Coturnix japonica: one gene and its partner. The protein of the gene in region 1 purifies or fractionates together with the protein of each later gene. This does not show direct contact. Links are inferred from orthologs where the notes say so. Each region holds a gene or a part of one and is shown in the gene's direction. Other genes may lie near its edges.

Evidence for each region. The genes of interacting proteins can lie anywhere in the genome.
Region 2: the proteins of DNAJB11 (region 1) and SDF2L1 purify together in Homo sapiens (affinity purification with mass spectrometry; 3 studies listed by BioGRID and IntAct, counting the BioPlex papers as one, with this or other methods). This does not show direct contact. The link is inferred for Coturnix japonica from reciprocal best matches to the Homo sapiens genes DNAJB11 and SDF2L1.

The regions. Positions count from the first base shown.
Region 1 is NC_029524.1:3,281,822-3,287,345, forward strand, and holds the start of DNAJB11 (dnaJ homolog subfamily B member 11), read left to right. Parts: upstream 1-1,892; 5' UTR 1,893-1,968; coding exon 1,969-2,036; intron 2,037-2,156; coding exon 2,157-2,313; intron 2,314-5,524. Other genes in the region: TBCCD1 (TBCC domain-containing protein 1), read right to left, coding at 1,070-1,219, 1,288-1,683. UniProt on the Homo sapiens protein: As a co-chaperone for HSPA5 it is required for proper folding, trafficking or degradation of proteins.
Region 2 is NC_029530.1:285,746-291,188, forward strand, and holds the start of SDF2L1 (stromal cell-derived factor 2-like protein 1), read left to right. Parts: upstream 1-1,917; 5' UTR 1,918-1,968; coding exon 1,969-2,131; intron 2,132-2,637; coding exon 2,638-2,834; intron 2,835-3,846; coding exon 3,847-4,125; 3' UTR 4,126-5,443.

The DNA.
Region 1 (5,524 bases):
AGAGGCTACAGCTTCTTAAAAAGAGAACCACAAAGACTATGAGAGATGCTTCACAAGTAACCAATCCCACTCCACCATGTCCACTGCCCACGTCCCTCAGTGCCACAGCCCCACAGGTCTGAACACCTTCAGGGATGGTGACTGCCCCACCTCCCTGTGCAGCATCTCACTGCTCTTTCCAAGAAGAAATATCCAAACTTAACCTTCCCTAGTGAATCTTGAGGGCATCACCTCTCATCCTATCACCATTACCTCTGAGAATAAACCTAAAGTTGCTATGCTCTCCTTTCCGTGAGCTGTAGAGAGCAATGAGGCCTTCCCCTCAGCCTCCTTCTCCAGGTTATATATGGGTGTGTCTTACGTGGATATAACTACTGACGTTTTAGCAACAGTTACATGGAATACATCAAATTTATCAGCTATAAATAAACCGGCCCCATCCCTACCCCTCCTGGTGTCCCCAGCTCCGACCTCGTCCCCATCCCCGCTGCCAGCTCCATCCCCACCGCTCTCCCCATCCCGGTCCCCACCACCACTTCCATCCCCATTCCCGTCCCTATCCCTTCTGCTGTCACCACCCTCACCACTATTTCCATTTCCACTATTTTCCTTGACTTAGGGAACTGGGTCTGTTTAGCCTTCAAAAAAGAAGGCTGAGAGGGGACTTGATCCAGGTTTATTAATACCTGAGATGTGGGAGCCATAGTGGTGAGTCTGGTCTCTTTTCATTAGTGTGTGGGGACAGGATTAGGGGTAATGGGATGAAAGTACAGCATAGGAAGTTCTGCACAAATGTGTGGAAGAACTTCTTTACAGTGAGGGTGACGGAGCACTGGAACAGGCTGCCCAGGGAGGTGGTGGAGTCTCCTTCTCTGGAGATATTCAAGACCCGCCTGGACGCCTTCCTGTGTGACATGGTGTAGGGAGCCTGCTTTGACAGGGGGTTGGACTCGATGATCTCTAGAGGTCCCTTCCAACCCCTACAGTTCTGTGATTCTATAAGGGGTGGCAGCTCGCTCTGCTCAGGGAGGCCCAGTAGAGCAGCCTCCCCTCCCCACAGCCCCATTACCTTGCTCTGCCCCGCGGCCCTGCCCGGCAGCCCGGCAGCTCTAGCCCTGGGGCTGGGCCACTCCTCGCCGATGAGGGACGTCCTCAGGGAGGCTTTGTTCAGCTGCTGCAGGTAGAGGAAGAGCAGGAAGCGCAGCGTGTCCACGGCGAGCTGCCGAGAGGGGAGATGCCGTTAGGTGCCGCCGGCCGCCCCGCTCCCTCCCCATCCCCGGTCCCTGCCTTGCCGCGCTCCCGCTCCAGCTCCTCGCCGTTCCCACACGCCGCCTCGGCCTCGGCTCGCTGCAGCCTGCGGGGCGGATCGGGAGGAGGGAGGAGGCCGTGGAATCGCTCGAAGTACAGCCAGGCCAGGTCGCGGCCCAGCTGCAGTTTATCACAGGCGATGTACCGCCAACGCGGCCAGCTCAGCCGCGGGTAACAGCCCTCGGCCGCCCTCGCCCGCGTGTACGCCGCCATTTTGCGCAGGTAGTGTGGGCCCAAGCGGGCGGGGGGCGGCACGGGCAGCGCGCCCAGCAGCAGCGGCTCCGTCCGCGGCCATAGCGACACGGCGGCCGCCATGACAGCACCGCCAACCAACCAGACGACGCTTCCCGCCTCCCCTCGGGAGCCGCTCGCCATTGGCTACCGGAGCCGGCGCGGAGGCGGGAAGAAGCGACACGCCTTGCGATTGGTCGGCGTCTTCTCCTTCCGGCTCTCTGCGATGCGATTGGGCCGCGGCCGCGAGGCGGTGGTGAAGTGTGCGCAAGCGATTGGTTGTCAGCTCGATCCGCGCGGGGCCGGGCCGCTCCCCAATGGCTGGCGGCTATGGTTGGGTCGCGCTCTCATTGGCTGGCGGCTGCGGCCGGGCGCCGGCTTCGTGTGTGAGGGACGGGCTGCGGGCGGCGGGCTCCTGTCGGCCCGGCCATGGCCCCCGGCTGGCTCGGCCGAGTGTGTCTGCTCCTGCTCTGCCTCTGCGGGGAGGCCGCCGCCGGGTGAGTGCTCCCGGGGGGCTGTTCTTCCCTTATCCCCTCCCTCCTTCCTATAGGCCTGCGGCTCCACAGCGCACGGCCCGGCCCAGCTGACGGGGCCTTCTCTCTTGTCTCGCCCCTCAGGAGGGATTTCTATAAGATCCTGGGGGTGTCCCGAGGCGCCTCCGTGAAGGACATCAAGAAGGCGTACCGCAAACTGGCGCTGCAGCTGCACCCCGACAGGAACCCCGACGACCCGCGGGCACAGGAGAAGTTCCAGGACCTGGGGGCTGCCTATGAGGTGGGGATGGGCTGTGGGCGGGGAAGGGGGCTCAGGAGGGAACCGAGTGGTACAACGGGCTGGACCAGGCGTTGAGGCACCGTCCTGTGGCTGTCAGGGCAATGTGCAGGTCCAGAACGGCTGTCACAGAATCACAGAATGAGCCGGGTTGGAAGGGACCTCAAGGATCATGTAGTTCCAACCCCCCTGCCTGGCAGGGCCACCAAACATACACCTTTACTAGATCAGGTTGCCCAGGGCCCCGTCCAACCTGGTCTTGAACACCTCCAAGGACGGGGCATCCACAACCTCCCTGGGCAGCCTGTTCCAGGGCCTAACCACTCTCCTAGTGAAGAACTTCCCCCTAACATCCAACCTAAATCTTCCCTCTTTTAACTTAAAACCATTTCCCCGTGTCCTGCTATTGTCAGCCCTTTCCAAGAGTTTACTCCCCTCCTGGGAGTAAGTTCCCTTCAGGTACTGAAAGGCTGCAATGAGGTCAAGACTCAGGGACGAATTCCCACATAAATGATTCCCTATGGGGCGCTGCTGTCATCCCTTCTCACCTGTTAAACGCTGTGTTGAATTTCAGGTGTGATGCCTGATAACAAAGCAGAGAGGCTGCCAGGCTGACCTGGGAAGTCCGCTTGTTTGAGGGCAATAAAGGGCAGCAGTTCACCTTGCTGGGGGAGTGTGCGGAGCTCGAGCTGTTTGATCTTATTAATAGTTGTTTGAGTACAAAAAGGGAATGCATCAGCTGTGAGTGTTGGCACAGGAACTCATTTGTTTGTATGTGTAGAGCGTGACTGTAAGTTTTGGCTGGTAGGAAGTGAAAGGCTGTTGGTCGCCTTCTAGTAAACATGTTGAAGGGTGAAAAGTCATTGCTGAAGCCCCGTATGCTTAATGAATTCTGTTATATCTATCCTAAGGCATAGCATTTAAGTAATAATTCATATTTCTAGCATCACACACTGCATAAATCACACATAAACTGTTTTATTACCCAACATTTGTAAGTCAAAGTCTGCTTTTCCCTCTGCTGTGGATGGTGGGCTGTGTTTCCTTCATGTCCTCTGTCCTTTAGCTTCCCATCTCAGAATCATAGAGGTTAAAAGGGACCTTGGGTCCCATCTAGTTAACAGACCTGCTAGAGTAGGTTCCCTATAGTAGATTGCACAAGAAAGCATCCAGGTGGGTTCTGAACGCCTCTAGAGAAGGAAGGAGACTGCACAACCAATGTGAGCAGCTTGTTCCAGTGCTCTGTCACCCTCAACAGCATAGAGATTGATTATTCCTTGTGATTGTATGGAGCTTTGTGTTTCAGTTTTTGCCCATTGCCCCTTGTCCTGTCACTGCACACCACTGATAAGAACCTGGCCCCTTCTGCTGGTTTCTTCCTGCTTCTCCTCATAGAACAGAGGAAAGCTCCTGAGGAAGAGCTGTCAGTTTAGGTAGGAGGTTTGTGCTAGCTTTGAGGAGCCAGGCCATAGGACAATCTGTATCCCATTGTTATCTTTAGGAGTAAAAGGGATTATCTTCCTACCTGGGCTGATGCTGTAGCTGAACCTGTGGCCATAGGTTCCTGCTGCTGTCCCTGCTGCTGCTTCCTTCTTCTGGCATGTAAATATAAAATGACTGAGGAAGTGAGGTGAGAAGCAGCTTGAATGTTTTCAGAAGAAAGACATTAACTTTTTTGTGTGCGTCATACAGTTCCTTTTAGTTCAGACTTCTATTCTTAAATAAGTTAACTTAGTCTCACAACAAAGTTGGTGAGTGTAAATAATTCTTTGGTGGGAGATGCGGAATTTACCGTCTTTGATTTGAAGGCTGATTCATGCTTCAAAGCTGTGGGCTTGGTGTAGTTTATGTGAGCTGGGGCCTTGTTGTACTTGACAGCGCTTAATGCACAGGGAGCGTTTATGTGTTCTCGGGGTTCCAGTTTATGTCTTACCACAGAAGCAGTTGAAAGGGTCTTTCCTACAGCAAAATATTAGGGAAGAAGCAGCTGTAAAATCATAAAACAGTATAGGACGTAGTGGCAGAGGCAGCAAAAATTGAGTGGTGACAATTTACCTTCCTTTCCCTTGCCAAGGTGCTACTAAAATACAGAGCCTGATTTCTTCAGCATAAAACCTGGAGTTCTTTTGCTAAGAGGCTTCTTCACGTAGCACCTGTTAGTGTCAGGGTGGTTTGGGGGCTGGAGTTCATCTTGGTTTTGGTTTTCAGCTTATCTGCTGAATTGCATTGCTTTTGAGGCAACCTAACATGGGCAAGAACTCTATACAGTATTTGGAGTGCTGTGTTCTTGAACCTCCAGAAGCCTGCTAAGGAAGCAAAGTGAATGGAAAAGCAAATATTTTGTATTCTTTATTCCTTTCTTTCTTGTAACATTGTTAGTAGTCTATTAATGGACTGTGGAACTTAACCCAGTTTTCTCAGGTGGGTGTTGTGTTGCATATCTTAGGCGGCACAGGGAGAGCTGAGCTCTTAACCTTTAGTCCTGGAAAGGTGAAGCCAGTACTTCAAGTCACTGTTTTGTTTTTCTTCTAACCTCTCTTGCTGCTGGCATTTATCATTACCTACAATTGGAGGCTGCCTTTCATCATTAAACCAGCTTTTCTCCAGCTGTTTCCATTCCTCTCTGAAATCTAACCTGGCAACTTCAGCCTTCCAAAAAATAGCCAGTGGGCCAGGAAAGGGAAGGAAGGCAAAATCTGGCTGGAAATCTGTGGAGTGGAGAATAAAAGCAAAGATAATACCTAGGAATTAAAACTGAAGCTTTGTGACCTTGAGTGCTGTCTATTGGGATGCACTGTTCTACCTCAGGACTGAGATTGCTCCTGAATTTTGCTGCCCATAGGAACTGAGTCAGTGTTGAAGTTGGTGTGGAGTTATTGTACTCAGCAGGTTCAGCTTGGTAGGCAAACTTGCTGTCATTGCTAATAATTATGAACTATGTGTCAGATAAATGAATTCCACGTGCTTAAAGAACTGAGAAACCAGGGCTCTATTACATGTTACGTGATTTTCTTCTTTTCACAGAGGAGCAGTTCCTGCTTTGTAAGACATGATTTTGAGTTATTATCCCCTTCTGAGTCTCTCTCAACTCATTCAGAGTAAACTCAATATATTTTTAATATCCTCTGTGTTGCATCTGCCATTTTAATATATTAATTCTAACTTTTATGAGGTTAAACAACACAAGAAATGTTTAATTTCCAAGCACAGCAGG
Region 2 (5,443 bases), on another chromosome or scaffold:
GGAAACTGGAGGCACTTTCAGTCCTTGAAAATCAAGTATGTGAAATGATTGCAGGGCTAAGTGTCTGCAAACAGAAGGCGCTGCTGTTACAGGCTGGATGCTTCGCTTCTGCAGCGCTGCTGAATTATTGTGTGTGTGTAAAGCAGCAGCACGATGAGATTCCAATCAAATATGCTGATATTTCCATTCCCAACACGCACCATTAGATTATCTCAGTGGCAGGTTTACCTGCAGCTTACAGTATTCCACTGGAAACAATGGTGGCCCTGTAGCCATGAGGTGGCTGTTAATTGCCATTGCTATTTGGCACTGATGGGGTTCTCTGCTGGACACTTCTAACCCAATGACGTTTCTAAAGTACAACCGAAAGCATTGCAGGGAGCACCGTGTACGTGGCACTAACTGCACTGAGGCTGAGCGACCTCCCAGGAGGACAGACAGGTGCCAGCTAAAGCCGCATACCATTGATTTTCCACGGCTAAAATGGCAACTTGGACATCTGTCTGTGCCGTGTGTGTAACAACGACTGCAAATGTGAGCTCCTGTCTTAGCAAGGTTTCTTAGAATGACAGAGATGTAGCATTTGGCAATCAAGGTAAGATGTTTTATTTAGTGTGTGTGAAGAAACACACTGCTGCAACTAGGAAGCTTTAATCCTCAGATAAACACAGCGGGCTTGTGTGTGTGCACACAAACGTGAATGTGTGACTGTGTTTGGGACACAGGCTTCTTCTAAGGCCGGACATTAAGATACATGAAACAGGCCAGCATGAAAAAAACCCGACCATTCAGTGAGTGGGGTCACCTCAGGACTGGTGGAAGAGATAAAGATTGCTGCTCATCTGAGCATCAAATGATGTTTCCACCAGCCAGCAGCACTAATGTGTTTTCTAAATCATCCCGTGATGATATAATTGTGATATTGAAGTTCTGTGCTGTTGCCAATGCAGAATACAATGCCTTATCCCAAGGCAGGTCTCTCCTACATGCTATGGCACTGCTAAGGGAAGCTTTTCCCCTGTTAAATGACACTGATCTGGGGAGCGTTACACCAGACTGTTCTGAGATACGGGTCAATTCAGTGATGAGTTTCAGAGGCAAAAGCCAATGGACTTTGTAGGAGTTCCTGTGTCCGTTGTCCATAGCTGTTCCCTATTGAAAAAGGCGGCTGTACTGTTATTATTTGCAGGGGAGGAAATCCTTCACTCTGCAGTACAATGCAATGAAGTACAATGCTTTAATCCAGTTTCCTTTTGTACATAACAGGTTATAATAATCTCTTTACCTCGTAGTAAGTTTACAAAAGGGACTGAATGGCAGCAGATGAACTTTCAGGTGCAAAAGCACAGCCACAACCACCACAGCCAGACGAACAGCACTCAGCGTTAGCGGCCTGTGCCGTACTGCTGCCCCAGCACCAGCAGCTCTCACATACAGCTGTGCTACCACACAAGTTGTCTGTGTTTCCTTGCAAGGCCTGTAACCCGGTAATATTTCCCTTACAGTCCCGACTACGCGCTAGATGAGAACGCTGCTGTAACCAACCTGTGCTGTGACACCCCGCTGTCAGGAAGGGGCAGCTCGATGGATCGCAACGCTCCGCGCTGCCCACAGCCGCACTGAGGGCTGGGAGCTGGGGGGACACACACGGCCCGCAAAGGCCGCCCCGCAGCACGGCACGGTACGGCACGGCGCCGTGAGGTAACTGCGCGCCATCGCGTCCCGCCCTGAGAGGCGCCACGCCGCTCGCTCTGATTGGTCGCTCCTTTCCTCGGGCCCAATGAGCTCCTCCTGCCAAGCAGCGAATTCCGTCGGCCGTGGTCCAATGCGAGAAGGAGACCGTGAGGAGGGAGGGCTGCAATTGGTTGACTGCGGTGCTGGCGGGGCGCGATTGGCTGAGCTCGCTGAGGGGCTGCGGAAGCGCGCTGCGCTGCGCTGTGTGGCGGCGGTGCCGGCCGTGGCGGCGCGATGTGGGGCGGCCGCCGCCTGCTGCCGCTGCTCACTGTGTGTGCGCTGTGTGCGCTGTGTGCCGGCACGGAGCCGGGCGCTGTGACCTGCGGGTCGGTGCTGAAGCTGCTCAACACCCGGCACAGCGTTCGGCTGCATTCCCACGAGGTCAAGTACGGCTCCGGTGAGCACGAGCGGGCCGGGAGCTGCCAAGGGGCGGGAGGAGCCCTGAGGAGGAGAGGAAATGGCGGGAGAGGGGCAGCGGGAAACGGGCGGGAAATGGGCGGGAAATGGAGGCTGCGGGGGGTCGGGGAATGAGCCGCACGTTGCTCCGGGCTGTTACCGGGACAGCGATGGGGCTGAGGGGTGGGATGGGGTGGGGTGAGATGGGATGGGAGACATGGCGGGGGGGCGGCAGGGCCGTACGGCTGGATCCGCATCTCCTGCCTCTGTGGTGCTTTGCGCTCCCTGAGGTGAGCCCTGTGCTGAGACAGCGGCCTCGGTTACGTTCTTCAGTGTGGAGGGTACGGTACCTGCATTCCCATTGGAGTCAATAAAAGGACTGAGAATGAAGTGTGTTCGTAGTGTTGTCACGCCTTCGAGTTTAAAGCAGCTTCCTTCCGTTCTTCCAGGACTTTCTGAGCTCCAGAAGCGGGTTAGGTCTCCTGCCATTTAATTCTGTTCCAACAGGAAGTGGGCAGCAGTCAGTGACAGGAGTTGAAGCTTCAGATGATGCCAACAGTTACTGGCGGATTCGTGGGAAGACGGATGGCAGCTGCCAGCGTGGAACCCCAGTGAGATGCGGGCAGGCAATACGGCTTACTCATGTAAACACAGGAAAAAACTTACACACTCATCACTTCCCATCACCGCTCTCCAATAACCAGGTAAGTGGCTCTAAATCATAAGTTTTTGTACAAATAGTGCGTGATTGAAATTGACAATACCTCTTTCCAGATTTCTTGGTTTTGAAGAATCAGTCTTAGATACCAGATGCCAGAAATAAGGCATCTCTGGATATGCAGAGTGGTTTCCTAGAGACTGATTGGTCTGTGACTTATTATCTTGTTGAAATGAGGCGTGGTTCTGAGTATAAACTTTTATTTCATATTCCTAACAAACAAGTTTGATTTTCAATCGGTGTGTTGTCACTGACACTGCACGGACTGCACAAGCTTGAATTAACATGACCCTATATTATTAGCTTGATAGGTACAAACTATTGCAGTTCTGTTTTCAAGTGGTTAATCACTTCTAGCCATCTGATTTTTAAGTCTGTGCTGAGTCTTAAACAGTTGGAGCTGAGCCTACCGGGTTTATGAAAATACTTGGAGTTATGTGGGGGCACATAATAAAATCTGATCTCTAACTTTTGTTTTAGCAGGAATTTATTTGCCTTTGTGGTTGGCCGTCTTTATTTTTTAAAGGGCCATTCAGTCATCTGTTCAGCAGTGCAAACCGAAATAGTTGTTAACTTGTAATCTTAATATAATAAAATAAAAGGAATACAATTAATGAGTTAAAATGTTGGGACCTTGTGATTAAAAGCTGCAGTGATAACTGTGAAGCATTGTGCTACAAAATTAGATACTTAGTTACAAATTGATGTCACCATTAGTGAAATTGTTTTACAGAAGGATTGCTCTGATCTCTGTGCTCAAGTTGTCTTTAATTCCTAATGTCTGTTGTGGTTTGTTGGCACTGTGCTCAGGTTATGTGGTGGAGTTTGTAGTCGCAGAGTTACTGCTTCTGGATTGAATTGCTGCTGACAGCAGGGCCGTGTTTCTTTCCTCTGCATCCTTGCCTTTAAATTCTGCTGGCTTTGTGGCTGTTGTTTTTGTGTGTGCATTGGTTGTGTTTGCTTATATTTTCACTTCAGGAGATTTGTGTTTCTAACAGGAAGTAAGTGCCTTTGGTGATGATGGTGAAGGAGATGACCTCGATATATGGATTGTGCAATGCAGTGGGACACACTGGGAGCGGGAGGATGCAGTGCGCTTCAAGCACGTAGGAACTGAGGTGTTCCTTTCAATCACTGGGGAGCAATATGGCCATCCCATTAGAGGCCAACGGGAAGTTCATGGCATGCCCACCGCTAATCACCACAACTATTGGAAAGCAATGGAAGGAGTCTTCATCAAACCCAGTATGGACCTTGCAAAACATGATGAGCTCTGAATTGCCAGAGGATCCAATAAGGTTCATCCTACTCCCATGGTCAGAGATGCTAATACTCGGTCTCTTAAAAAGTCCCACCTTGCCTAAGTGATAGACTTTCTGTGTTACTGAAGGGCATTAGTTCATTCTAGGAATGCTGCACTTCTGTGGGAATGACATCTGCCAGGCTAAGACATTTTACGTTTATTTAAAACATCCTATCTAAATCTTCAATCTTATTTGGTGAAACTAGATCATACGTGTTAGTTCTCTCTGTCATTTGTTTTGTCGTTACTTCTCCAATTCAAAAGAAATTGAAAAAACAAAGTAGTACATCTCTGTAGTCCCAGGTACCGCAAAACTTTGTATTTTGTAATTTTTTTTCAGTTATAATTAAATATTTGGAAACTTATTTCTAGCTAGTGAGAGAATGCTATTAATGAAGAGCTGGAGTAAGTCTAGAAAGGGAAAATAGTTCTTGCTGTCTCTTAAGTGAGTCAAATTCTGCTACTTCCAGAAAAATATTTCAGTCCATCTGAAAATTGCTTCCAATGTGTTTCATGAGTTTTGTTGTGTATTTATGGAAAAGTTGAAAATGCTGTGTATGTTGAAGAGGACAAGTTTTTATTTCTTACCTTTCTCTGAAGAAATTTGTGGGTTTTTTTCTGCTGATTGATTGTGATACTGCTAATTCTCAGACGGTAAGACTTGTGCTCTAGGAACTGGTGCAGAAGGCTCCTACTTGTTTAATTAATGTTAGAATTTTATAAAATTCCATGTGATGTGAATAAATTTGCTTTATGTTGTTCTTGCATGTCATTGCAAGCTCAGTATGAGAATCCAGGTGTATAAGCAGTGGGACTTACAGCCGTGTGGGGCTCTGCTGTGCGAATCCAGGAGAGAGTAAATCTTAGAAAATGGTTTGGTCCTGGACTTTGAACAGAGGGGTAATCTGTAGAGCAAGGAATCTTCATTGCATGAGGCATTAATTTCTGTGTTCTGTGGAAAGAATGGAAAAAAAATCTAACTCTTGAACACTTTTATTCCAGTGTATTACAAGAAATACTGACTGAAGCACAAATTACCAGACATTTTCTAATTGCTTTAAAGAGAAAAGCTCAGTAAGTGAGTGTGAAAAGTCAGCAAATTCAGGTGTTGGTTTTTTCCATGTATAACTAGTTTACTGACTATGGTCCCAATTAGTCAGTTAATGAAGGAGGAACGTTATTTGCTGCTTTTACGTCTCCAGTTACATGCTGTGGAGAGTGTTGATGCAGTGTAATAGGTAGTTTCATTTACATTTTATACATGTACCTATACACATGCTTCATATGCTGAT